4 linked regions of the Mytilus edulis genome follow. The protein of the gene in region 1 binds, or shares a complex with, the protein of each later gene. Links are inferred from orthologs where the notes say so. Each region holds a gene or a part of one and is shown in the gene's direction. Other genes may lie near its edges.

The links.
Region 2: uncharacterized protein (region 1) and phosphatidylinositol N-acetylglucosaminyltransferase subunit P-like share a complex: the UniProt entries of both Homo sapiens proteins name them as parts of the glycosylphosphatidylinositol-N-acetylglucosaminyltransferase (GPI-GnT) complex. The link is inferred for Mytilus edulis from reciprocal best matches to the Homo sapiens genes DPM2 and PIGP.
Region 3: uncharacterized protein (region 1) and phosphatidylinositol N-acetylglucosaminyltransferase subunit A-like share a complex: the UniProt entries of both Homo sapiens proteins name them as parts of the glycosylphosphatidylinositol-N-acetylglucosaminyltransferase (GPI-GnT) complex. The link is inferred for Mytilus edulis from reciprocal best matches to the Homo sapiens genes DPM2 and PIGA.
Region 4: uncharacterized protein (region 1) and dolichol-phosphate mannosyltransferase subunit 1-like share a complex: the UniProt entries of both Homo sapiens proteins name them as parts of the dolichol-phosphate mannose (DPM) synthase complex. The link is inferred for Mytilus edulis from reciprocal best matches to the Homo sapiens genes DPM2 and DPM1.

Annotation. Positions count from the first base shown.
Region 1 is NC_092345.1:2,383,262-2,390,426, reverse strand, and holds uncharacterized protein, read left to right. Parts: upstream 1-4,152; 5' UTR 4,153-4,263; intron 4,264-4,377; exon of another isoform or gene 4,378-4,453; intron 4,454-5,286; 5' UTR 5,287-5,306; coding exon 5,307-5,399; intron 5,400-6,063; coding exon 6,064-6,166; intron 6,167-6,918; coding exon 6,919-6,968; 3' UTR 6,969-7,083; downstream 7,084-7,165. UniProt on the Homo sapiens protein: Regulates the biosynthesis of dolichol phosphate-mannose. Regulatory subunit of the dolichol-phosphate mannose (DPM) synthase complex; essential for the ER localization and stable expression of DPM1.
Region 2 is NC_092356.1:67,724,151-67,731,676, reverse strand, and holds the start of phosphatidylinositol N-acetylglucosaminyltransferase subunit P-like, read left to right. Parts: upstream 1-4,516; 5' UTR 4,517-4,535; intron 4,536-7,526. Other genes in the region: nephrocystin-4-like, read right to left, coding at 885-1,043. UniProt on the Homo sapiens protein: Part of the glycosylphosphatidylinositol-N-acetylglucosaminyltransferase (GPI-GnT) complex that catalyzes the transfer of N-acetylglucosamine from UDP-N-acetylglucosamine to phosphatidylinositol and participates in the first step of GPI biosynthesis.
Region 3 is NC_092356.1:49,226,919-49,234,676, reverse strand, and holds the start of phosphatidylinositol N-acetylglucosaminyltransferase subunit A-like, read left to right. Parts: upstream 1-4,748; 5' UTR 4,749-4,907; intron 4,908-7,758. UniProt on the Homo sapiens protein: Catalytic subunit of the glycosylphosphatidylinositol-N-acetylglucosaminyltransferase (GPI-GnT) complex that catalyzes the transfer of N-acetylglucosamine from UDP-N-acetylglucosamine to phosphatidylinositol and participates in the first step of GPI biosynthesis.
Region 4 is NC_092348.1:4,569,217-4,576,482, reverse strand, and holds the start of dolichol-phosphate mannosyltransferase subunit 1-like, read left to right. Parts: upstream 1-4,256; 5' UTR 4,257-4,308; coding exon 4,309-4,412; intron 4,413-5,909; coding exon 5,910-6,009; intron 6,010-7,266. Other genes in the region: protein FAN-like, read right to left, coding at 1,122-1,177, 1,846-1,924, 2,329-2,427, 3,966-4,003. UniProt on the Homo sapiens protein: Transfers mannose from GDP-mannose to dolichol monophosphate to form dolichol phosphate mannose (Dol-P-Man) which is the mannosyl donor in pathways leading to N-glycosylation, glycosyl phosphatidylinositol membrane anchoring, and O-mannosylation of proteins; catalytic subunit of the dolichol-phosphate mannose (DPM) synthase complex.

The DNA of each region.
Region 1 (7,165 bases):
ATTGTTCAATGTGTTAAGGTCACAGCAACACCTAACATATATGGTTACTAGATGCTTTACCAAATCATGATTGTTCTGATGACTTCCAGGAAATTCCTCAAATTTTGAATCACATCGAAATTTAGTTCAAGTGGTCCATGTCAAACATACGGTCGTAACTGTCCTCAAACTATATGGTTGACAGGCGCTTTTAAGCAGAATTGTTCCGAGAGACTTTCAGGTAATTAAAATTTGGAATCGCATCCTTTTAAAATTCAATTGTTTCATTACAAAGTTTAAGTCACTACAGTTATCAAATTTTAATTGTCCTAGGTCAAGGTATAGGTCACTAAAGATACCAAAATACACATGGTTGATTTGTCTTCTTCTTCGAATCGCATCCTTTTAATGATCAATTGTTCCATGTAAACATGCACTTTCTGTTCTTCTTTGGCTTCTTGTCAATAGTTTTACAACGCAGAAACAGTTAAAAACTTATACAGAGAAGAGCAAAAACAACAGAGATGTATATTACGACCTAATGTATAAATTGTACTTGGTGATCCTGTTGATCCTGTATAAAAAAAAATAATAAGGGTTCCGCGGAACCCAGTGTCTCGCCTACGTTATCTGTAAATCGCAGGTTCAACAAAAACGAGGGAAAAAATCAATAAAAATATTCCTCTTGATACTATCGTTTGAATGTAAGAAGCTTCTGTCCAAGTTTGGTAAAAATCCAGGATAGTTTATGAATCAAATAAATGTTTAAAAAATTTAATTCCAGAATGTATGTAATGTTAACTGGAAGAAAAACTAAGTCCATTTGTTAGTAAAATACAGATACACAGGTACAAAATTTTAACAAAATTTCCTTCTAGATACGAACAAGCCTCTGTCCAAGTTTAGTACAAACAAGAATATGTCCATAGTACATGGATGTTCCACTATCATTTTCTATGTTTAGTGGACCGTGAAATTGGAGTAAAAACTCTACTCTGGCATTAAAATTAGAAAGATCATATCATGGAAACATGTATACTAAGTTTCAAGTTGATTGGACTTTAACTTCATTAAAAACTTTAACCAAAAACTTTAACCTGAAACTTGCGCCATCATTTTCTGTGTTCAATGGACCGTGAAATTGAGATAAAATCTCTAATTTGGCATTAACATTAGAAAGATCATATTATAGGGAACATGTATACTAAGTTTGAAGTTGATTGGAATTCAACTTCATCAAAAACTACCTCGACCAAAAACTTTAACCTGAAGCGGGACAGACGGAAGAACGGACAGATGAACGGACTTAAGTTATTTGATTATTAATTGATAAGAAAGAGAAGGTGCATTCAAAACTCACAAGTCGTAAAAAAACTGACAACGTCGTGGTACAAAAAACACAGAAAAAAACAATGAAAAGAATGAACAATTTTACAATGAAGAGAACTATAAAGATTGAACTACACGAACCCATACAAAAACCGGGAGTTAACTCAGCCCCGCCCCCCCCCTCCCAAAATAAAAGGGTAAAACAACACATCAAAGGTACAATTTAAGAATTGAATGCTCTTTTTTGTAAATTAATTGCGGTGTAAAAGCGTTGACCGAAGTACATTTTGTATGAAGCGCTTCCGCGCTTCATACTAAAAATGTGCGCACGGTCAACGCTTTTACAACCCTATAAAGTTACAAAAAAAGCATTCAATACTTATAATTACATTTTTACCTATAGGATCATGAAAACACGCCTTTTATCAAGTTTTTATTTCATTTACCTGTGCACTTTATTGTGGGACCTCGTGTCATCATGATTGAAAAGTTGCATTGTGTAATGCAATTGATTAAGGAATATCACGAGATTGCTAGTTAGCCAATCAGAATAACGTATTATAATGAAACATACATCTAATGTAATTATGACTATATCATTATAATACGTTCGTTCGTCTACAACTTCACCAGACACTCGAATACAAAAAAGTTCTAAAAAGCCAAATAAAGAACGAAGACTGAGGACCAAAAATTCCGAAAGGTTTTGCAAAATACGTGTCAACCATCTGAGTATTTCTAGCGTAGAAGATTCTTAGTATTTTTAACTATTCTAGTTTGATCAACAATTAATCTATGAATATTACCATATCAATGATATTTGAATATTAGGCAGTGCTTTCGCCAAATGTGACACCATTTTACTACCAAAAGACAAGCATCAACATAAAATTGAAAACTAAAGAAAAGACTAGGCAACACCAGCCCTACCATGCAAAATCCAGCCAAAGTAACCCTAAACGTACAAAATGTGGGTATCTTAAACATTTGACACAATCTGTATGCTAGTATATTCCATGCTCAAGCCCTATTTCAATTCATCTCGATTTTGATATGGCAACACATTATAATGTTCCAGAATTCAGCGATGATATGCATGAATCCAATTTTCCCTTTATATGCGCACAACATTAATGTGGGTCCACACTTGAGAGATTATTTTTCATACAATCAAGTTAATTTGATTATCAAGAGATCCTTAGCGATGATTAAACAGACTCATCCATTCATTTTAAAACTGCTCAGTAGTATATGTATTTTAATTTTAATGGCAATTTCTTTGTTCTTTTTGTGTTTTGTGGGCTTTTTTTGTAGCTTTGTGTAACTTCGGTAAATTAAGACATGGACCACAAAATGCATATATGATGAACTAGGATGCACCGGCAGGGTAATCAGATTCCGTTCCACATGTGACATCCATCGTGTTACGCCTATAAGATCATATAACATACAAGAAAGGCTAGGGATACCAAAGGCACATTCACAAGCCAAAAATAAAATGATAACGCAGAACAGAAAATGACAAACAGACAAACAACAGTACACAGTATACAAAACCCAATATAGAGAAGCAAAGACTGCATGAGCAACACGAACCCCACCAAAAAAGGGGGTGATCTCAGGTGATCCGGAAAGGTACACATGCTTCACTGCGGCACCCGATAACAGGTATAACTCAGACGTTCGAATTCGAGGAAAAGGGGACAGGAGTGTAATCACAACATAGGAACACATTGTTGTCATCTGAGAAACAAATATTCCATAATGGTCAACCCACTTGTGATTGCGTCCGTAAAATTTACAAACTGAGACGAATTCAACTTCACCACTTGGAACTCTTCAATATATAAATAGCTTCCTTGTGAGCAGCAATCGTCTATCGTGGCAGATTCAGAAATTTTCAAAATGGAGGCCACTGACCTCATACGAGATTACCCGATCCAGTGATTACACTACATAATTAACAAAATATTTCCGTTTCCCCCTCAATTTGCCTCTTATAGTGGGAGTTATATACTTCGTAAGCTGGAAAGTCACACAGAAATGGAAAGTTCACAATTGGAAAGCTGATATCTCGTTTGTCGTTAAGTTTGGGTTTCAACCGATAATCAATATCAATTTCTGGATGTTAGTCGACATAAGATGCAGACTTAACTGTATCCTTCATCTTTAGATCGATTGGACATTGGAATGCTTTAAAACCTAAATATTTTAATATTTGTTTTGAATCTTCACACATTTTCAAAATATACACGAGCTGTTGTATAAAAAAAGTAAAAAAAGCAAAAATACCGAACTCCGGTAAATTCAAAACAGAAAATCCTTACCTCTATCGTATCTGTTGAACCCTTTTTTCTCAAGTTCGATATGATATTGATGCGTTCAACATAGTTCTTCTTCTTCTTCTTTAAGTTTCCAGTAGTTATTAATTTTTGAATTACTTTACTTTTAGTTAGAGATCATTTAGCCTACTATCTTTCTAAGAATTTCAGATACAGATCCCGATCGAAAAACACGTCCTCCAAACGTAATTAATTAATATGTTTTGTCAATCAAGAAATCAAGCATCAAGATAAAATCAGTTTTAGAGATTTTTTTAACTGACTGCATGACTTGTATCTACGCAATATGTTGATAAATCCTAGTAGCTAGTTATAATTTTCTGGAAAAAACACTTAGCAGTTGATGACCTGCCCAAGCATGTAAAATTTACACGTTCGTTTGTAAAAATAACAGAAAGATTGTAACCTCAGTCTGGGACTATAGTCCCAGCCTCAGTGGACGTGAAACAAATACCAATATAAAAAGGGATATTTTCCGGAAATTTACCTACTTTGACTTTATATTTTATACTATGAATTTAACTTCCTGGAAAAAATGTAAATAATGTTGAAACTTTGTTTTGAAGGTAATCTTAGAAACGTATTAAATACGTATCAAAATTGACCAGTCAAGGTATAGTAGGATGGATATATAAAACGTTTATCCTACAACGCATGCTTTATCCATCATACATCTATTTGTAAACAAAGGCCCTACTAAGGTCAACATCTAGTACGAGTGTACATTTTACTCTTTATGTATATATATAATATTAGCTCAGCATGTATGAGCCAGTTGTGGTTGGAACTGACAAATGTAAATGGTATGGCAAAATATGAGGCCATAAATATATCATACATGTATATATTATATTCAATCATGTAGGTCTTCATAGCAAGTTTGCCACTCTAGTATCATTGCTATTGGAAATTGTCCTGTATCACCAAGATTGTAATTCTATTCAAAGACGTTTTTTGTCAGGCTTGGTTATTGACATATGCAACACACCTGTGACCTCCTTTTATGAATAAAAGTTGACAAATAAATTTTTGTGTTCAACACTTGATCCAATTCACCTGGCTTCAGGTACAAGTCTCTTCAATTTTATGTTGAACTTTACAGACATTTGAAAGTTATGGCAATGACTTTAAAATAAACATGCAAAATTAAACCCTAAAGGTACCCAATATATTGAAAAGGTGGAACCAAATATTATAAAGATCAGAGTATATTTTGTGTTGGTTTATTTTGTTTACACCAGCTGACAAATTAAAAAGACTAAAAAATGTGTACATGTATGGCAATAAAACAAACTATATCCCTTTTGTATGAAATTAACCATAACCAATACATTTAAAATTCAAGAAACATCCAAGGAATGCAACATTACATGTTTTCCTCTCATGCCATTACAATGACTATAAACAGATAAACTGGTAAATTTAACTTGGAACACTCCTTCTTCTTCTTCCTTGCTAAGGACTGGATTCTTTAAAAGAATGTTATAAGTCCACTAGACGGAGAATGAGTCATTAGTGCATCAATGTGAAGCATTACAGAACTCTCAACTCTTTACATGTGCCAATTAAAAAACAAGAAGACATACCAGGTACACTTTATAATGACTCTAACTCAATCATTACTTTTTTTTTTCAGATTGTATACCAAGATGAAAGATGACAAGAACATTTGAATTATTGGCTGGTTGGACACTGATCACAGTGACCTCTATAGCTTACATCTATTACACAGTTTGGGTTATTGTTCTGGTAAGATATACTGTAAACTCTTATAATATTGAGTTTTTTTTTTGTGATTAATTTGACTGGCAATACAGTGTTATTAATCTAGCATTTTTGTTCATTCTTTTAAAAAAAAAACACAACAAGAAATGCACACAACAATTTCTGAATTTTCATTATGGAAAATTTCTCAAAATTTAACGCTTCTAACATATTGATGAAAATGACAATTCTATGATATTCACACCAATGTTTTGCTAATAGTTTAAAAAATTGTAAAAGTAAGAAAAGTTGTAAGTGAATTAACATTTTTGCTAAATAAAAAGGATTAAAGTCAGTACTTTGAGGAGTTTCTCTGTCAAACTATGTATCTCATTATGTGGACTTATAAGTGAGTCTAATGTACTTTCATTTAAAGCAAAACAAGAAGTCCAAACACACATTTTTAGGTTACTGGACTTAGAAATCAATTGATTCAAAACATGGTGAAAGTGGCATATATGCTTATACAACATAACAAATACCAGTAACTATAAAAAGACCTCCAAGAAAATTGAACATTAATTTAGTAGGTGGAGCACAAAAGTAAACACATTTATTATATATTTTTTTTACCTGAATATTAAATTGAAATGGCTATTTATAGCTATGATAAAACACATATTGTTTATGCAATCATTGTTATTTTCAGCCCTTTGTTGACAAAGATCAAATCTTCCACCAAGTCTTTCCAGACCACAAATATGCATTAGGTATTCCATTGCTGATGGGTGTCACTGGATTAGCTGTTATAGGTAAATATATTTTTATTTGTTTGAAATCTAATGTCATATTGGTAAAAACATTTTTTTTTTTTTTTTTTGCCATATTTTAAACAAGATGTTATTGTTCTGTTTGATTTTGAAGTTATTGGCACAGTTCTAGATTATTTCATAACTTTTTAATTTATATTCAGCCTAAAACAAAGCTAATTATTCTCTATAAATGAATTATATAACCATCATCAAGACATGCATTTTTTTGAAACCTTAAAAGGTTTAACTTTACATGCTTTAAGTAAAGAAAGGAATGTGTGCTGTTCATACGAGACAATTAGTACTTTGTTATTGTTTCCCCTCAGAATCCATCAAATTTTATATCATATGAATAGAACTGTAAATTCAGAAATAATTTCGATGTTTTTATTGTCAGATGGGAAAAATGATGGAAATGAGAAATAAAATGTTCAAATATTTCTCGCTGCATTGAAAACCCCATTAGTGGCCTTCAGCTGTTGTCTGCTCTTTGATTGGGTTGTTTTCTCTTTGAAACGTTCCCCATTTTCATTCTCAATTTTATTAATAACAAAATACGGATTCATGTTGGTGGTGATAGCCATTCAATTCCTGAGTGTAACAATTCACCAAAACAATATGCATTGTGTAGTATGTTTCTTCAAAGCACTATTAACAACTGGGATTAGCCCATTTTGCCTTTTTCAATAATGTGTTAAATAAACAACTGTAAGAAGAATCTGGTTAATCATTACTTATGTTTGTTATTGTAGGTCTATTTGTATTACTGACTTGCAGAGGACAGAGAGTTAAATCAAACTGACAGATTGGTTATTTACAGTCGATCTAACAGAATGTACAACAGATATTCATTGAAACATTAACGTCTTATTATAGTGCAATATTCTTTTATTTTTCCAATAAAATATTGACATGAACATGTTCACTATATAGTATTAAAGTGTTGAACACAAATATATATGACATTTAGAGTTTGAGCAATATTAAAATAATACACAG
Region 2 (7,526 bases), on another chromosome or scaffold:
CCTAATGGGTAAAGGTTAGACAATATCCTTATGGGTAAAGGTTAGACAATATCCTTATGGGTAAAGGTTAGACAATATCCTTATGGGTAAAGGTTAGACAATATCCTAATGGGTAAATGTATGACAAAACACTAATGAATAAATAGAGGACTAGTTTATGAGTAACTTATGGATATTTTTAACAGGACAATAATTAATCATTTATATCCCTGCAAAAAGAAGCAAAAACTTCAGTGAAAACATTAGTAAACTCTGAATAGGATAATGTGTCTTCATGGAAGTTATGTGACATAAATTCATTAGTTTATAACTGGAAATTTTTCCATTTATCATTATCTCTATTTTCTCTACTTGTTCATTGCAAATATATGAATTATGATTGAGAAGTCACAACCATGAAGGATCTACACAAAACATTAAATGCTATATTATTGTATGGTCAACTTTGTCTGGGAGAGTTGTAACATCTAAGTACAATAACAAGGCTCATAACTTAAAATTACATAATCATATTTGTATACTTATATCCATATGTACTCAAAATTATCATAACATATATATGTTAACAGACATGTACATAATAATTTAGGGTGATAGCTGACCTAACCATTTTAAACAGCTTTTATAACACACACAATTTAAAAGAAAAAGTCAATGAATAAATATCAAAAAGAAAATGTGGTATGATTGTGCGCGCCAATGAGACAACTCTCCACAAGAGACCAAAATGACTCAGAAATTAACAACTAAGCCTATACCGCATAGTCAGCTATAAAAGGCCCCGAAATGACAATGTAAAACAATTCAAACGAGAAAACAAACGGACTAATTTAGTTTCTATCTTATAATAAACACCCTTGCAAAAGTTTGTAAATTTAGCTTACCTTAACTTGAAAAGGGTGAGTTAATCCCTGTATTTGTTTAAATGATATAACAATTGGTATATTATCACTGTCTGCATGTTTATCTACCGTGGGGTCATGTTGTTTCCACAGAAGGTTATGTCGCTGTGGTAAACTTCTATGTAAAGTCAAGTATTTCATATTCAAGTGAATTCAATGGAATTAATATCCGTCTCCAGAATCAGTAATCCGATGCATATGTACATGTAAGTCCTTTAATATGGTGCCTATATCTGAGACTTATAATATTGGTCCCACCCAGTCTATAGCTAAATGTTAACAAATTTGGAAACATCTACTTAAAACACTCATATCTCGTAACAGTTGAAAATATGTAAATTCCTATGCAATGTTAAATCAAAATCCTCTATAATGTATTTTCCTGCACAAACAGACACATTATCAGCCAGTTAGAATATCATTCATGTCTACTGAATTTCCATACATCTTTTACCTTTCTAATATCATATTTATCAAGCTTATAAGATATATACTGTAAAATCTGTCAAGTTACAGAAATCAATAATTCAGAAAGTCACTTTCACTTGAAGTACAATTTTCAATAACTAAACATCCGATATAACCACAAACTTGTATCATATTAGGTATCCAATAAAATCTCTTAGTTATTAAAAATTTTAAACTTCTTGTCCTTTCACCTCATAAATTTTATGATAACATGTACCTTCAGACTATTACAACATGAACGTTTACTTTCCTAGTGAATGGCCATATATTACAGCTCTGGATAATATCCAAAACCAAAGATGTCGGGTTTATTATATTTCATTTTTTACTTCAAGTGAATGTATTCCATCAATATAGTCTGAATAATTCAGTGCATGTATCCTTATATTTTTTTTTATCTAGTATTTGAAGTTTTCAAATTACAGCATTATTTTTTTTTTCTTTCAATAATTGATTTTCTTTGGTTTTTTTTCAAATCAGATGTTTCTACACAAAATCATCACAATAGTACAATTAGTTTTGTAATGATAGTATAGTCACTTTGGAATTAAATTTCAAAAGGTAAATATAGCTTTTTTACAAGCTTTTATATCTATTCATTCACCGGCAAAATCTTTTAACCAATTGATATTGATGGTGAAAAGTAAAAAAAAATATTCGCAGGTAAACTTTCTTATTAAATATCATTTAAAACATATTAATTATTTATAGTTGATCAATTAACCATAACTATTTAGATCAAAATATTTTTAAATTCAAATTGACATTTAAAAAAAAATTTAATGCTGATTCAATATTGTAAATATGTACTTCAATGAAAAACATTAACAACTTCAAATGCAATTATCTATAAATTCACAAAAAATGACACAAATTATTCCTCTTGATATATGTATATATGCTCCTCAAATTATTAAAGTTAGTCTCTTCAAAAAAAATAATTTGATGATGTTAAAATGATGAAAATTTATCACAATAAGCTCAATCCCACATGTAAACTATATATGTACTGCTAAATCACAATAAAGAATTCAATAACAGGTGATAGATCTATAAATAGTATAAACTTTCACGTAATGACAAAGTCGAAGACAAATCATCTCATTGTTACAGCACATCAACATGCATTGATCATCTAACTATCGATTTTCATTTCATAGACACAGAGGTGTTTATGATTGAGGTTCATTAAAAAAACATGACGATAAATTTTCCATCTACATTTGTAACGGTGTCTTCCCGATTGTCCCTATTTTTGAAATTACAGGTAAAAAGGTTATGAAATTTTGTGGGACAATCGGGAATATGTTTGTGGGACAATTGGGAAGTTTAGATGTGGGACAATTGGGAACTGTTTTTATAATGATTTATTTGTTTTTATAGCGTGTTGCAGTTAATCAAAGGTTACTTATCGATGTAGCTTATAAAATATGAACAAAATAAGAACAAATAATAATATTTATATATTTTATTTTGCTCATAGTAGGTACAATTGAAGTATCATATAATATAATATGAAGTCTTTTAAAAAATTTAAAAAAATTTAGTCTAAGATGCATATATATTTTTTTTAATTATTTTTTATTGGCTTTGAACTAGCAGTCAGTACTGCGAGTGCTCTTAGATCTGTACTTAGTGTCTTTGTTGTGGTGATGTCCCAAGCCAGGAGCCTGTAAGTCAGTGGTTGTCGTTTGTTGCCGTGTAACATATTTGTTTTTCGTTCATTCTTTTGCCATTAGTTTTCTCGTTTTACATTAGTCATTTTGGGGCCTTTTGAAGCTATGTGATATGGGATTTGCTCGTTGTTGAAGGCCGTATGGTGACCTATAGTTGTTAATTTCTGTGTCATTTGGTCTCTTTGGGAGAGTTGTCTCATTGACAATCATACCGCATCTTCTTATTTCTTATGGAAGTCTGGCTCTTCTTTATAATTGGTGAAGAGTCTTTTTGACTGCAAAAACAATGGGAAAATTGGAAAAACAACCTTTAATAGTGATTCTTGGAAAGGCTGATCTGGAAAAATTCTAGACAGCAGCAAATTTAGAGAAAATAGATGGGGGTACAAGAAATGATTTTACCAGAAGCATGTGCATCCCATATAAAAAAAATTCTTTCAAATTTCTCAAATGTGTATTTTTTCAATCAATTATAACAAAGAAGTTGAAATAATAAGATTTGTGTTCTAAAAATAGCAAAAATAAGTGCACCACCATATGATTTTCGTAACCAATTAGTTTTCTAGAGTCATATATAAACCCAAAAAATCAGGTTCAGAAAAAAAGTTTAATTCAAGACCTTAAAAGATCTATTTCATAAATCAGAAATATTATATTTTTTTTAATCAAAAGTGTATCAATCTAATGATTTAAAAATCATATTTTTTATACTTTTATAAAATTAATATTAAATGTGCAATAATTAATTCTTGTTTATTTAGCAAAACAAACAACAGTTACCTTGTTTATCTATGAACATTTTACTACATAAAATAATGTGGGACAATCAGAACTCTAAAATTTTAAAAAGTGGGACAATAGGGAATAAACCTTTGTAACATCACATGTAAAGTACAAATAAATCAGGTATAACACACAGTAATATTATTTTCCAGTTCTTAACACATGTAAATGTAGGATTGAAAAAATTGTATACTTTATAATTACATGCAAGTTAAAGATTATTCAAACCTACATGTAGGATTTTTTAATTACAATAAATTGATGATATTTATTAACCTTTACTTTAAATGTCATGACTTTTAAGTTCTATTTAAAGATTTTTAAACGATCCAAGTCTCCCGATAATACCATGGTAAACAGTCAATATTTATCTGCTGATCATTTAGTCAGGATAATTTAGAGTCCCTCCTGTTTTTAACCGTAATCAATCTGTAAGCTATTTTTAAAACTCATCATAAAATTAGAATGAAATTTTGAAAGAGACCTTTAAATAACCACAAAAATTATTTATTAATGACAAGAATGCATGATAAGACTATTTTGGTCCCATGAGTTTGTAAATCAAAACGTATAATTAATCAATCTATGGAATAACACATTGCTTCAGTTGTTTACAAGGTTTATAGTGTGTTGATTAACAGTGTATATATATAGAATTTTATACATGTCAGTACATTTATCTATATTTGTGTGAGAAAAAGTTAGGGTAGGTACATGTAGATAAGAATTTATCTCTTTTTATTTTATGGTGGTTTTTTTTACATTGAGTCTTTGGGGGGAAAAAGATCTGTTTTTAACAGAGCTTAATGCATTCTGTAATGGAAAATGACAAAAATATCATTACAGTACATAAGACAGCTAATCATCTCAAGACAATACAACATTTCTTTATCATGTTTATACATAATTTAAAAGCAGTGTAAGGGAGGTAATTGTCAATGTTGTTTGAATAGTCCATTTGTCAATTACCGATTTTGTTCTGTAATTACACACTTTTTAAACAAATTACTTTCCTTTGTCAATAGTAGACTGGTTCTATACCGCAAAATTGGCTTTTGCCAATGCAAACCATGATGAATTGAAAGTGATGCAAACCATGATGAATTGAAAGTGATGTATAGGTGGTTTAACTAATATTTCATGGAAAATAATTTCTGATGTCAAAAGTATTTAGCCTAACAACAAAATTAATGATAAATCTAATTAACAGATTTTAAAAACTCACATTATGCACCGGTTAATTTGCTCTCTCTGTTAGCTCTCCATTGTAAATAAAATATACTGTCCCTCATAAGGGAGAAAGCTTAAAAAGGGATCTCTAATTACAGGGTCAATTACAGGAAGTGGTAAATAGACTATTACCTTCTGTTAATTGCTTTAAAATTATGTTTTGAACTTAAATAATTGTCCATTAACCAGGACACCCTTGTTCCCCCCTTTTTTTCCTTAATTCCTAAATGGTTTGAGCCATAACCCTGCAAAGCCAATTCTTACCATACCTTTATGGTATGGAAACTTGTGGTATAATTTCAGAGCGATCCATACACCATTCCACAAGTTATTGTCTGGAAAGTAGAAAAATGCCCTTTTTGACCCCTAATTACTAAACTGTTAGGACCATAACCCCCAAATCGTTACCAACCTTTCTTTTGTGGTCATAAACATTGTGTTTAAATTTCATCTTTCTATTTACTAATACATGTACTATAAACATGATCAATAAAAGTAAAATCTCAAAAAAACTGAACCCTGAGGAAAATTCAAAAAGGAAAGTCTGTAATCAAATTGGCAAAATCAAATGAGAAAACACATCAAATGATCCGTATTCCATTGAAAGAAATTGGGCATAGTTAGTGTTGTTTCAGCAAGCACGTGCGTTATCGCATTATTGATTGTGTCTAAATATTCTTATATAAACTGGATTTAACTTATTTTATAAAATTTGGTAAGTATGCAATTTTTGTTTAAGTTTTTAATGATCTATTGTATGTCGTCGTGTATATGTATTACACAAGTTAAGTCATTCATTTTGGCGTGCACAATTCACAATTTGTCTACACTAGACAATTTATTTTACATAATTGTGAAATCAATTGTACTATAGATACTAATATTATGAACAAGTTATATCTTACCAAATAGTGCTTCCCTAAACTATTAGGTAAACTAACATGAGGGATACTAAGTTACAAGCTGTAAACTTAGTAAATTGTTACAGCAAATATGCAATAAAGATATTATTACCTTTAAAAAAAAAAGAAAACAAATCAAAGGAATAGACAACAACTGTCATATTCCTGACGTGGTACAGGCATTTTTAAATGTAGAAAATGGTGGATTAAAAGTTATTGACCTGAAACCAAATGTATTCAGACGATGACAACGACGATGTGATACCAATATATAACGCAAATTCTTTTGGCTGTCTTACAAAACTTTACATGTTTAACTTAATAAACATGACTTGTAAAAGTACATGTTTTACCCTTGACTGTAACAAAACAAAGCACTTTCTGTTGCAGAAAGGGGCAACATTTAAGTACAATTACACATGTAGGTATAACATGTATAATGAGTATATTATCAAACATGCATTTACATGTAAATGTATATCTTTTCAATACTTGTACAGAGTTCTCTATGAGTGGTGGTCCTAGGGATTTTACCACCACATTTTTTTGGGAAGGACTAACACAATTTTGGCAATATGCATTTAGAAATGATAGTGAGGAAGGACCACCAGGCAAAAAAAGATTTCAAGAAATATGCTTGGATAAATGAGGGTCAAATAAAAAAACGTCATGGTACATTGTACATGTATGTTAATTGCAAGAGTTTTGAATGTTTTACAGTAAAAGTCAATATACGTGTAAAATTGTTCCATTTGGCTAAGTTCTTACTCAATTGAGCAGAGGGATTCATTGTTACTCATTTATAGGAATCTGCCATTTTTTTTACACATATAACTACATTAATACAGTACTACCTGTGACTTTATCTTATTAATGGTGGCCATAAAAAATATGTTCACCATGGTGGCCCTATATGTTCATCATCTTACCCCCTGTTGATTTTTTAATACACAAGGTATTACTCAAAAACTAGTCAAGGATAAAGGGAAATCTTGAATGCATTGAAGTGTTAAAATTATATAACTTACAGGTCAGGTGTCTCAGGTAAAATATACATGTATGTGTTTGTCAAATTTAATAACTGTGATTATGACAAGAAATTCAAAAATAAAATGAAACAATAAAACTAGTTGAACAAACAGCTTAATTAAAAAATAATTGTCTCCTGACTATTAGTTTTGATATTATACCTTTTAAATAATTTTTGATCAATTTAAGTTATTTTTTATATTAAGTTTATTTTTTGGTAGTGAAGAATAAATGAATCTCATTTTCAAATATACTGCAAACATTTACAATGCCTGTCTTTTTCTATTGACTAGATGTTTCTCAAATTAATTTTCTAAAATCAAAATGGTTTATTATTGTAGATAGACTGATCTTAACATATGATTAAGATTGTCTTTAGGACTTATGCTAAATAAAATTTAGGCAATTCATTATTTCTTTATTGAATAAAATATTTATAAGTATTAGAAATATTCAGTACAGCAAAATTTGATAATATTTTTATTGTCATATGATATTTTAAACATGATCCATGTTTTAGAGGTTAAGCATTTCTT
Region 3 (7,758 bases), on another chromosome or scaffold:
AAATCTGTATTACTTTGAATTATACATAATAGCATGGTGTATACTAGAACCAAGCGGGCTAACTCGCTTATAGATGTACGCGTACTTACAATGAATTCAAAGTAAGGATATGATAGTAAAATATTTTCATTTGAATAACTGCAAGTATATAATCAATATTATATTTCATTTCAAACATGATTCGATAATCTATATAGCACTACGGAATTTTGGTTTTCATAATTTCAAATTGACATACAGATTGAAATCCAGAAATCATTATTTTAGCCGATGTGATGTTTTTGAAGAGTTGATTTTAATTATACACTATCTGTATTTCAGTATCAACAGTCAAAGTTTTATACATTTACAATGTAAAATAAAACGATAAAATAGTAGGAAGGAGACAATTTTAGCTCATAATAATGTACCATCACTATGTAGAAATCATCTGAATTCTTAAATACCACAACTAGAGGCTCTAAAGAGCCTGTGTCGCTCACCTGTTTTTTTCTTATGCTTTGGAAATCATGTAAAATAAGGTTAAAATCATAATTTATAGTATAAGATATTATTAGATACTATATAATTATATCTTAGATAATAGAAAAATACTGCAAAATTTCCATAAAATTACTAACTCAAGGGCAGCAACCTAACAACTGGTTGTCTGAAAATTTCAGGGCAGACATATTTAAATCTGATGAACATTTTTGCCACCAGTCAGATTTGCTCTAAATGCTTCAGTTTCAGAGATATAAACCAAAAACTGCATTTTACCCTATGTACTATGTTTAGCCATGTCTGCCATCATGGTTCAGAGGCAGGGTCATCGGGCACATTTTTCAAACTAGATACTCTTCTGTAATTATGGACAAGTTTAGTTATATTTGTTTTAGTAGTTTCAGAGGAGAAGAGAATTGGTAAAATTGACTATAAAGGGCAACTCCTTAAGGGGTCAACTGACCATTTTGGTCATGTTGACTTATTTGTATATCTTACTTTGCTGAACATTATTGCTGTTTACAGTTTATATTTTATCTCTATCAATAATAATATTCAAGATAATAACGAAAAACGGCAAAATTTCCTTAAAATTACAAATTGGCAACCCAACAACCGGTTGTCCGATTTATCTGAAAATTTCAGAGCAGATAGATCTTTACTAGATAAACAATTTCACCCCATGTCAGACTTGCTCTAACTGCTTTGGTTTCAGAGTTATAAGCCAAAATCTACATTTTACCCCTATGTTCTGTTTTTAGCCATGGTGGCCATCTTGGTTGGCTGGCCGGTTAAACGGACACATTTTCTAAACTAGATACCCCAATTATATACCCCAATTACAATTGGGGCCAAGTTTGGTTAAATTTGACCCAGTAGTTTCAGAGGTTTTTGTTAAAGTTAACAGACGACGTCGGACGACGACGACGACGACGACGACGCCGACGCCGGACGCAAAGTGATGAGAAAAGCTCACTTGGCCCTTTGGACCAGGTGAGCTTAAAAGTGGCAAATGTCTGAAATTTCGAAGATTTTCTTGGAATGAAATATTTCACTTTTCATAGATTTAATTAGTCATCGAATACCAATATGTACATAAATAAAGAACAAATTAAATGCATTTAAAATCCACACATAATAACCCAACATAACTACCCAGAGACGTTTATTGGTGATCGATCAAATGTGAAAACTTCCTCGTTCGAGTCTATTCAATTCAAACAATACATTTATACACGTTATATGATTTTTATATTCTTATCTTCAAATACATTTTAATTGTGTAGTCATGAACCATTTATATGTGTAGATCAATTATGTTATATTTTAAAATGATTACTGTCGCCCGATTTATTTTGAAGACATGTTTTTTCGTTGTGCATTAACTGATTTTGTGATATGGATGGATACGCCATATCCTTTGATTTTCCATAATATGTTCATTTCAATAAAATCGACGATATACTTATATTATTAAGATTGAAAATTTAAAAAAAAAATAAAACTATATATGGACAATGACCCCTCTGCTATGTCATATGCATGAGTATACTGTTCCACATACTTTAGATTTGACAACCAGTGATGTTGATGTACGACTTGAAATTAATACGGCTTTCTGCAAGACACAAATAATGCCCCCGTCTGATCATAAAAAAATTATAAACTTAACACTATGTATGCTGACCTATCTTTTATTTTTATTCCGAATGCCTACACTTGCAGCTGGATGTCAGTTCTGAAATCAGTCTTAGGGTTACAATTTTCCAGTTTTTATATTTACCAAGTTCAAATGTCAATTTCCAGTTGTCAACTACCCGGTATTGATTACATTTTTGACAATACTAAAAATCTTATGTATAGTGCATTATAACATTTAACTTTAGTAGTACAAACCATGTGTTCAATTATATAGCGTTGTTTGTGAATATCTAAAACATCCCCCTTTCGAATTTTAAGTACAAAAATTACCAATTCCAAATACCTAGAATTTTGAGAATAGTAAATACATAAAGTCGAACCATAGAAGTAATATTGAATATTGATCTATATCCGGATGGAAGAACGGACGATTAAACAGACGGACGGATGGATAGGCAGTGGTAAATTAATTTCCATATTGAGATGGCGTAGTTATGTTTTGCCAATAACCAAAAAGGTTTCAGCCATGTTCGAATCTTTTAAATACTCGGTTCGAAACCAAAAACTTACCATGAATAAGAATAGCAAAGATTAGAAGTCTAACAATCCAAACTGTCTTCATTATTATGAATTCATTATTTTATGGTAATTCGATGATCACACAAACCCGGTAGTATTTTGTTACGGATCACTGGTTTTCATATATGCAATATTAAACATTTAAACATTTAACGTAACCGTATTCAGTGCTATTTAAATATTTACCGTGTATGTAGAGGAAGATCAAATTTCTTAGTTATATAGTCAGTTTAGTTTGCTCGCATTGTTTATAATATCTATGTCTTTCGTTTACTATGTACATTTGTATTTCGGTCAATTAAAACGCTCGCGTAGAGCTTATATTGTATTGTTACTTAACATACCGACTTTGAAATTATATAACTTATTTGATTTGATTTGAAAATAAATAATATCTATGTCTTTCGTTTACTATGTACATTTGTATTTCGGTCAAAACGCTCGCGTAGAGCTTATATTGTATTGTTACTTAACATACCGACTTTGAAATTATAGAACTTATTTGATTTGATTTGAAAATAAATAATATCTATGTTTTTCGTTTACTATGTACATTTTTATTTCGGTCAACACGCTCGCGTAGAGCTTATATTGTATTGTTACTTAACATACCGACTTTGAAATTATAGAACTTATTTGATTTGATTTGAAAATAAATATTTTTTTCTGATTTTTTCTTTATCAAGGATTCCTAATTTACAAAATCTTTACTTTATAAACGTAGATTCTTTATGCATATGCAAATAAATAGAAATATAAAAATATGACAAAAAGACAACAACTGTACCATAGAGCATACAACAATCCAAGGCCATGTATCAATGACTTTTCAACAGAGGTGACGAGAATATCCCACATGGAGCTATGAAGGTTTAGTTGACCTATTGAAGTAATATTACTTCCATTGTTGACCATTAAAAAAGAACTTGTATACTAGTTTAGCGAAATGGAAGCGACATGTATACAAATGGAGAAAAAAAAACCCAAGACTGACAAAGGCTAGAGGTTCTGGACTAGTTACAGACGCACACATGTGGCAGCATGTTTTGTAAGATCTCGACCCTCCCTCTATTCTTCTATAGCAAGTATTGAATAAAAAAAAAGAAAACAAGGCAATACTCTCACTAAAACTCAGTTTAAAGACGTCCGAGTCTGTCTATGTTAAACAGAATAGGTAACAGAAGAAATTAAGTAAAATCTAAATATGACAAAATAAATTAACAAAGGACACACTAACAGTTACTGATATGCTAGCACAAAACTATATCAGTTTAGTGAAACATCATGTGTGCATCATGTGAAAATCAAATATGGTTTATACGACATCTTATATAGTTTATTAAATATCTTATACAATTTATAAGATATCTCATATAATATTCTTTATAAAATATCTTATAGACGATATATAAGATATCTGATAAATAACATATAAGGTGTATAAGATATCTTAATATATATAAACAATATATGCATGTAAAATATCTTATACTTTGTAGATATCGTATATAATATCTTTTAAACTTTAAAATGTATCTTATAATTATAAAATAAATAAGAAGATGTGGTATTAGAAAACTCTCATGTAAAGTATATAAGTTATCTTATATAAACTAAATGATATATATATATAATGTCAAAATGTATAATGTATATATTAAAGTTTCTCAGTATAACAACTAGATTAATTTATATAAGATATCTGATAAAAGATCTTATATATTATATGAGATATCTTATATATTATATAAGATATCATGAAGTTAGAATAAAGTAATAAAACGGCTTGTCATAGATGTCCGACTCAAATGAGGTCAACAAATCGAAAATTAAAGTAAAAAAACTCAGCATATTTAAAAAAAAAATAGGTATTAACATGATATATGATGAAGATTTGATTTGGCAGTTGGTTGTTATTTTGTAGCTGTAAACAGACATATAGCATCCCAAGCTAGCAACTAGACGATTAAAGGAATCAAAGAAATACATAGGTCAGACAAAAGTCGGAATTCGGATGAATACTCCGTCCTCGATCCGGATATTTTAATGATGTGTAAATTTCCGGTTTCGATAAGTTTCTGATATTTTTGTTCTTGGATGGAAATATAGGATACATAGAAACCATGAAACTCTGAAGGGTTATATTATTCAATATATGAGCACAATCTCATCTGCAATTTCCAAATGAGCTTTTATATGCATTTGTATGGTCAAATGCTAACATCATTTTAAGTAAAGTGTGAACCCCTGCACAGATTTTTAAACTATGGAAAACCATTTTATATTCTTTAACATTATGCTATCCAGTTACAATATGGTACTCAATTTCGGCACCAAGAACTACTGCCTTAAACAATCTCAAACAAATCAAGCTGGCACAGAGCAAAACAACAAACATTCTTTCATGAATCATGTTGACTTTTGTTGTCCTGTGGCTGTGCATTCTTTACAAATGTTCATACATTGTATTTTAAGAATTCATTCACTCTGGCACCTAGTTAAATCAGCATCTTGTATAGTCATTTCTGCACCTAGTCAAATCGAGACCTACTTAATTCTACCCTAAAGTCAAGGTAGTTATTTTGGCACCCACGATTTTAATAACATGTAATATTATGTTTTGCAAGTTAAATTATTGAAGACTCCTTTTTTTGTTGCATATTTTTAAGAATATTTTTATCAAAGGTGTTAAGGTATATAATTTTTGTGACACATGACAGAAGTTCCAATGGAAACTTTATTGTAAACAATGCCAGGGCCGTAACTGCCTATGAGGCAGGGGAGGCAGTTGCCTCCCCTGAATTTTCGACACCAACATTTTTTTTTTGAAGTAATAAAATGAAATATTGACAATATGTATACGAAGAACTTGAATTTATATCATAAACAACACAAGTTTACAGTTTTAACAGAGTTATCATGATACATGATATATCTGTCATTTTTCGGATTTTTTACCGAAAGTGAACCATTTCAGTATTTTATTTTTCGTGTGTCCGTCTGTTATGCAGTATTCGTACGAGAACACATATGAAACTTTGCTTTCGACAATTTTGAATAAAACTGAACTATTCACATTTATTTGGGGGCTCCATTAAGCAGAGGAAGTTCCCTTTGTATTGTGAATCTTTTATGATATTGGAAATTCGTTACCGGCTGAATCAGCTGTTGTGTCATTTTTTTAACGTCTCCCGGCCGATTGTACGAGAACATTATGGTCAATGCCTTAGTAGTTAAACACTCCTATTTGTTGAAGCAGAGACTTTCTAAACTAAGTATATACTAGTTTAGAAAGTCCCTGGTTGTAGTTGTATACATGTCTGTTCAACTTTCAACAATATTAAAATTCAAGGTCCTTGACAAAAAAATATCTTGCTTTCTATGATCTTGCTTTATATGGTTTTTTTTAACTTACCAGTTTGATTTCTAACAAAAATATCTTTAAATACAGATAATAATTGTTTGTATAAAAAATTGCTTCAAGGATCCAGCAATACTGATGTTTCTTAAAGTAAGGAAATCGAAGGAAAACGGGTGATTTTTAGCCATATTGAGAACAAAATCCGCGGTCACAATGTATTTAATGTTAATAATTATAGGTCTTCATAATAATTACGGCCTTCAAGACGGAGCCTTGGCTTACCCTGAACAGCAATCTCAGTTTGTTTTTGCATAAAAATTGCTTCCAGGTTCAAGCAATACTTTTTTTTCATTAAAGTAAGTAAATCGAAGGAAAATGGGTCATTTTTAGCCATTTTACCTCGAGAAAAAAATCGGCGGGGGCTGCTCCCCCAACCCCCTCTCTCTAAGGGGCTTCAATCGGTGGCCCAAACCCCTGCCTCCCCTGAATTCGAACCCTAGTTACGGCCCTGAATGCCATAATATCTGTTTAAACTTCAATGTATCTTGTCAAGGAACTTTCATTTTAAGACAATTCTGCATAATAGTGTCGACAGGAATTAGGGAAAAACAATTTACATCACACTGATTATCCTCATAAAAATATAAGGATTAAACAAAGAATAACATGGGTTTACACAAGGTCATGTTTTTTCTCTGACTGTTTATGATGTCTTTACACTAAATCCATTGGATGTTGGATGTGTACGGAACTACGGATTGATTGTTTAGTTTTAGATGCATGATTTTTTTGATTAGTTGTAAGTGGCTTCGAACTAGCTGTCAGATAAATGTGAGTACTCTCAGATCTGTTTCTAGTGTCTTTTTGTTGTTAGGATGTACAAGTACCCAGCCACGTCCACTTGTATTTTTATCCATCTGATGAGTTGAGCCTTTTTCAACTGATTTTTATAGTTCGTTCTTATGTTGTACATGTACTGTTATACCACTGCCTCAGGTTAGGGGAGGTTTGGGATACAGCTTACATGTTTAACCCTGCTACATTATTTATGAAGTTGCCTGTCCCAAGTCAGGAGCGTGTAATTCAGTGGTTGTCGATTGTTTATGTGTTACATATTTTTATATAAATAAGGTCGTTAGTTCTCTCATTTGAATTTACATTGTCAATTTCATGAATTTTGGGCCTTTTATAGCTGACTATGCGGTATGGGCTTTGCTCATTGTTGAAGGCCGTACAGTGACCTATAGTTGTTTATATCTGTGTCATTTTGGTCTCTTGTTGACAGTTGCCTCATTGGCAATCATACCACATCTTCTTTTTTTATATTTAAAAATTAGTGTTTCTGTTTGTTGTTTACTGGGCGCCTTGCCCGTCCTTTCGGGATCGCTGCCCTGTGCCCCTTTCTGACACCCTGTGCCCTCTTTAAGATGCAAGTCTGTGCCTTTATTGTATTAATTTTTTGACAAATACCATTATTGTAGGTACCTGCCTTCATATTTATGACAAGATAACGACCCTACTTAACATTTACAATAAGTTGTGATTACAGATAATCCGCTTATTGACATTGGACGGGTCATCAATCTGTTAATTAAACCTCATAATTGACCACCATTAAATTTGCAGTTTGTTTATCCATAGACGTTTTTGTAATTTCGTCAATTTAACAAAATTGTTTTCTTGCCTCTACCATG
Region 4 (7,266 bases), on another chromosome or scaffold:
CAATTAAGTTAATATTCCATCAATCTAACTATAGACAACAATTAAGTTAATATTCCATCAATCTAACTATAGACAACAATTAAGTTAATATTCCATCAATCTAGCTATAGACAACAATTAAGTTAATATTCCATCAATCTAATTATAGACAACAATTTAGTTTTTCTACAAACACTAGTATGAACAAATTTACAATAGGTATGGAATGTTTCAATGGCAGATAATCAGTGGAAGATTAGTGTGGATGAATTGTTACAGTAAATCATATATCCTAATATAATAGATTACTTTCGAGTTATGTCCTTTATCGAAAAAATTTGTCAATTATGCACACCTTTATGACGTCATTAACCAGAAAGAGGGGATCACTTATATCCCTGCACTATCAAAGTTCATCAAGTGTCTTGGCGTTTGTCATTTTGCAGGATCAACTAGAAATAAATGTTTGTTCTGTAGGGACTTAATATAATTGCAGTTAATACAAAGTAAAAGAAGAATTCAAGAAGTGAAAAGAAATACCCATTTCTGTTAAGCAAGTGGCATGGTAGATAAAAGTGAGACATGATTGTAATTTAGTTTCTATAATTTTTGTGCTATTTTCACATTTCCTGACTGGTGTGAGAAAAATATTTCTCCTCACTAGTGAAAAATCTGTTCTCGGCAAATGATTAGTCGAAATTTGATTATGACGTCAAAATGTTTTGTTTTCTTCTCAATTTTCCTATTGTGACGTCATGAAAAAAGGGGACCTTGCCTGATGACGTCGCATATAAAGAGCACAATTTTCTGAAAATCTTTGAAAAAGAACGATAAAAAGCATTAGAGAAACAGATTCCGACACTATAACTCGTGTATTACGATATTTCTCCACTCTGGACAGTTAAATTTTATTATTTAAAGGGCTCGGCAAGCCTCGCACTTTAAATAATAAAATTTAACTGTCTCGAGTGGAGAAATATCGTAATACACTTGTTGCAGTGTAAGAATCTATATTTACATAAAAAGGCAGAGTTTGTCTTAATGTTGTTCTCCATCTGCACTCTAAAAAACAACAGGATTAAAAGTTACAAGTTATATTTTATCTAATTTTTTAGTTACAATAGATAAATAAGGTTACTTACTTAGAAAACAACCCACCAGACCACTCATCTACTTCTGTCACATATCTTAATGGAAACTGTAATAGAAACGGATTAGAAAACTATAATGAAAAGGTCCTTACAAATTGAAACATGTCAAGTAATACTTGTCAAATGCAAATGTTAATATCAGTAATTTTGATTTAAAGGTTCAGTGAAAATGCATGTCTGCATCACAGAATTCATTTCTCTGTCTTCTTTTAAGGTTCCTTCTACCCATTAAAGGTAAACTCTTTTTGTATTTGTGTTATTTAAACGTGAATAAATAAAGAAGTAGGGAATGTGTCAATGCAAGTCTAATAGCAAAATGCAATAAACCAAAAAGGACATCAAATGTCCAGTAATAAACAAATGTCCAGTAATAAACAAATGTTCATACTCACATATACAGTTAGTCTTTATGTCATTTGGTCTCTGGTGTAGAACTGTCTAATTGACAATTATATCACATCTTTTTATCTGTATAGCTCTATATTGCCTGTTGACTTCACAAGTTGTTATGTTAAAGTACCTTTCAGTATTAAATGTAAATAGATAGCTCCAACAGTTCCATAATATAGATCAGACAATTGTTTGTACAATTATAATATAAAATAGAACTGTTGGTGACCTTCTGCTGTTGTTTTTTATTTGGTCGGGTTGTTGTCTCTTTGACACATTCCCCATTTCCATTCACAATTTTATTAGTCTGTAACTTAAATAATACCTTCAGAATAGGGTTCTGACTTTCCTTTGGAACAAACACAACTGACTTGGAACATATTTTCAAATGTCCTCTCTGTTTCCTGTAAGAAAAAAGAACAAATAGTGTGCTGTGTTATCACAATAAAAAACAAATTGCAAAATCTATCTAATATTTTGATTAAAATTGACATAAACAAGCAATTTTACTGAATAAAAGATTTTAAAAAAATATGCAGATGAATACAGAATTTTCAGCCAAAATTATTATTTTGTTTGATTTTTATCATAAAGAATCTTTAAAAATCCTTTCAAAATAATACTTTATCAGAGAAATAATGTTTTTGTCCAAGCAAAAAAAAAAAGTACCAATGTGCAACTTACATGTTTTCATGATGTCTTCATTATCTATCATAGAAGTCTCATTCATTTAAATGAGAAAGGTCAGACAAATATTTTTGTAAAATCATTTGAATAATATAATTGGAAACATAAAAACATTGTGTACCTTTTGACAGCTTCTGGTTCTGGAAGACCACAAGGATAATAGAAAACACTGTAGTCTTCAAAATAGATTTCTCCTGGATCTAGTAATAACAGATTAAACCTGGAAAAGAATGGATAACCTTCTAATATACAAGTCATAAAAAAATAGTTAAATAATTAATAACACATGATGACATTTAGCATGTTTAGTTTTAAAATAAAGTTTAATAAGGAGATCAGAAGCACAAACATAGTAAAGTATGCCAATCTCCATCATAGTAAAGTATGCCAATCTTTCTCTCCATCATAGTTGTTCATTGGTTGGAGTTGTTGTAACATAGTTGTTCATTGGTTGGAGTTGTTGTAACATAGTTGTTCATTGGTTGGAGTTGTTGTAACATAGTTGTTCATTGGTTGGAGTTGTTGTAACATAGTTGTTCATTGGTTGGAGTTGTTGTAAGATATTTGTGCTTTTGTGGATACACATTTTTGTTGATTGAGGGAAATTGCATTTTGGGTGGATGTTTGATTTCTTGGTTTTGACAAAGTCTGCATTATTCTCATTTTTATACTTTATGCTATGTTTGATTTTATTCAATTCAGTCGTTCACTAAAAGAAGACATTTGTATGTATTTCCAATAGGAACCTATGTTAAACTAAGTCCCCTGCTGGCAGCCATCCTGGATGATAGATTGGCTACAAAGTAACAACACTTGGTCAGCACCTCATAAGGAACATTCATGCTATGTTTGGTTTCATTCCATTCAGTGGTTCTCTAGAAGAAGTCATTTGTATGCATTTCCCGTAGGGTCCTATGTTAAACTTAGTCCCCTGCTGGCGGCCATCTTGGATGATGGATCGGCTACAAAGTAACAATTAACACTTGGTCAGCACCTCATAAGAAACATTCATGCCATGTTTGGTTTCATTCCAATCAGTGGTTCTCTAGAAGAAGTTCAAAATGTAAAAAGTTAAAGAAGACAACGGACAACGAAGATGGATGACGACAACGGACGCCAAGTGATGAGAAAAGCTCACTTGGCCCTCCGGGCCAGGTGAGGTAAAAATGCAGAAAATTCAAACTCTTCATTCAGTGAAAAACCTTGATAATGTATGTTTCAGTGCACTGTTACCAGTATTACTATTAGCAGGAACATATATACTGATGGGACTTGTCACTTAGATATATGATTCCGGCTAATGCCCTTTACCATCAGGCGTCAAATGGCCATTTTTGGTTACCATTAGCGTCAAATTGGTTAAAATTTTGCCATGATTCGTCAAATTATGCTTATCATGATTCGTCAGAGGTCTCAAATAGTTATCATTATTGACCATGTTGACATTTTTAGAAAAAAATTGAAAGTGTTTCGTCTAAATCAGTCGATTCTTTTGTACATTTTTATTGTCATGCCCCAAAAATTACCGTTAATGTCATTTGGCAAGAATTAATTATTATTTCAGTTTTTTCGTCATGAAAATACCCCCATCACCTCCCTCAGCTATAAGCCACAAAAATCTTCATAGAAATAACACAAGTCATAAGACATAAGATATCACATAACCCAACAAAGAAAAACTAAGTCATTTGTAAGTGAATGACAGTGTATAAATTCTTATGAAACTACATGATATATACATATAAAAAAATCATAAACCTTTCTTTTGAAGCAGTGTCATTTTCTAAAAAAGACATTATTCAAAGAATTCATAAATGTGAAATTCAGTCTGTGTTCATATCCATTTGGTCTGTTTCCGGGTTGATTAGAGTTTTATTCTACTTCCGGTTTGAAGGTTAAATTTGGGGACAAGTCATTTTATCAATAAAACAAATATTTTTTAAATGATCTAACATTTGAATTCTTGTTAATTTTCTTGTACCATTCAATTTTATCAGATTTTAAACAAAAGTTTAACTTTTTTTATATTTTGGTTCGATATATCCACCTAACAGTAATTATATCGTTCTTGAGAAATAGCCTGTCCCTTAAAAGTGCCAACATGGCTGAGAAGAAAAACAAATATTCTGTTCTCCTTCCAACTTACAACGAAAAGGACAATCTACCTCTAATAGTGTGGCTTATTGTGAAATATTTTACAGAGAGGTAACAAATAATGATGTCAAGAAATGAATAAATCCATTTTACATAAATTTTTGTAGTAAAAAAATACATTTTTATGAATATTTTTTACTATACCTGTATGTTTCCTTGTAGATGTCAAGCATTTATGCATTATGAAGAAACTTTTTAGTAGGCAAAAAAAAAAGACTAGAAAATTGTTGCCTAAAAAGGGATTTATTAAAATTTATTGAAAGATTTAAAAAAATACTTTCTCATAAGTTTTTTATGATCTACATTTACTTGCAAGAAGTGATTGATTGCAATAGATTTTCATTAAACCTTTAAATTTTTTATTCACTTATACACAATTGTTTGTATTTTATTACCATGTATTGTAAATTGTTTATCCATTCGGTCATTACCATTTATTGTAAATGTGTTTGCGTCAATAAAATATTGTCTATTGTCTACAGAGGGGGGTTAGGAGGGGTCCTGATCCCGAAATCCCGGGCTTAAAAACACGATATCCAGAAATCCCGAGCTAAAAAACACGAAATCCCGAGGTCCCGAAATTCGAAAAATAGAATTCCCGGATCCAGAAAGGGTCAATCCTGAAATCCCAAGCTTAAAAACACCCGATCCCGGAGTCCCGATAAAGGTCCTATCCCCCCTCTCTACAACCATGACATTATTGCATCAGAAAACACAATCTTCAAGTCATTGGGGCAGATCAATGTTAAAAGTGAAATTGGAAAGAGCATATAGGATTTAGAATAGTTCTATATATACCTTGAAAGCACACTAAATTCTCATTTGAATAATGAAATATTTGCCACTGGATGTTAACTACATCATATACATGTAGCAACCAACAATCAATAATTTGAATATTCACTTTAGCCTTCAACAATATTAAAAACTGGTACTTAAAGATGTAGTAAAATGTACTGCACTTGTCAGTTTCTGAACCACATACAAGTATATCCAATATACATGATATATAATTGTTTTCTACAAACATCTATAAGGGTTTACTTTACAAATTGTGACTTGAATGGAGAGATGTCTCATTGGCTCTCATACCAAATCTTCTTATATCTGTATTTATATAAAAAGATTGAATTTCTGGACTATAGATAAGAAGAAACAAATGTAGCTGCTTTACAAACATGACAAATCTTTTGAAAATAAATATCATCAGTTGAATAATTTGTACATATACCTGTTCAAATGGTAATAATGCTTTTGACTAATACAAGTATAACTTGAAGCACCAAAACTAATTTACAGTACAAACAGCAAATACCAACTCTCACAAAAGTTAACTGACATACAATGTAAAAGACAAACAACATTAAATTAGAGATACCAGAAGCCAAATTTAGTACATGCACAGATCATGCAGAATGATATGTGGTTAACCCATTCTTAACTGCACTGCCACACTTCTCTATCTTTTATATCTATAATGTTTATATATGCTACTATCCAACTTCTCAAAGTACAAATGTAGCACATCAAATTTTTTTTTGATTGCAGTAAATATGATTTTGAAATCATTGTAATTGATGATGGCAGTCCTGATGGAACATTAGAAGTGGCAAAACAACTAGAGAAAATATATGGCAAAGACAAAATTGTAAGTTTTACTTAGAGGTGGCAAAACAACTAGAGAAATATATGGCAAAGACAAAATTGTAAGTTTTACTTAGAGGTGGCAAAACAACTAGAGAAAATATATGGCAAAGACAGAATTGTAAGTTTGACTTAGAGGTGTCAAAACAACTAGAGAAAATAAATGGGAAAGACATAATTGTAAGTTATCCTTAGAGATGGCCAAACAACTAGAGAAAATATATGGCAAAGACAAAATTGTAAGTTATCGTTAGAGTTGGCAAAGACAAAATTGTAAGTTATCCTTAGAGGTGGCAAAACAACTAGAGAAAATATATGGCAAAGACAAAATTGTAAGTTATCCTTAGAGGTGGCAAAACAACTAGAGAAAATATATGGCAAAGACAAAATTGTAAGTTATCCTTAGAGGTGGCAAAACAACTAGAGAAAATATATGGCAAAGACAAAATTGTAAGTTATCCTTAGAGGTGGCAAAACAACTAGAGAAAATATATGGCAAAGACAAAATTGTAAGTTATCATTAGAGGTGGCAAAACAACTAGAGAAAATATATGGCAAAGACAAAATTGTAAGTTTTACTTAGAGGTGGCAAAACAACTAGAGAAAATATATGGCAAAGACAAAATTGTAAGTTTTACTTAGAGGTGGCAAAACAACTAGAGAAAATATATGGCAAAGACAAAATTGTAAGTTTTACTTAGAGGTGGCAAAACAACTAGAGAAAATATATGGCAAAGACAAAATTGTAAGTTTTACTTAGAGGTGGCAAAACAACTAGAGAAAATATATGGCAAAGACAAAATTGTAAGTTTTACTTAGAGTTGGCAAAACAACTAGAGAAAATATATGGAAAAGACATAATTGTAAGTTATCCTTAGAGATGGCCAAACAACTAGAGAAAATATATGGCAAAGACAAAATTGTAAGTTATCCTTAGAGTTGGCAAAGACAAAATTGTAAGTTATCCTTAGAGGTGGCAAAACAACTAGAGAAAATATATGGCAAAGACAAAATTGTAAGTTATCCTTAGAGGTGGCAAAACAACTAGAGAAAATATATGGAAAAGACAAAATTGTAAGTTTTACTTAGAGGTGGCAAAACAACTAGAGAAAATATATGGCAAAGACAAAATTGTAAGTTTTACTTAGAGGTGGCAAAACAACTAGAGAAAATATATGGCAAAGACAAAATTGTAAGTTTTACTTAGAGGTGGCAAAACAACTAGAGAAAATATATGGCAAAGACAAAATTGTAAGTTTTA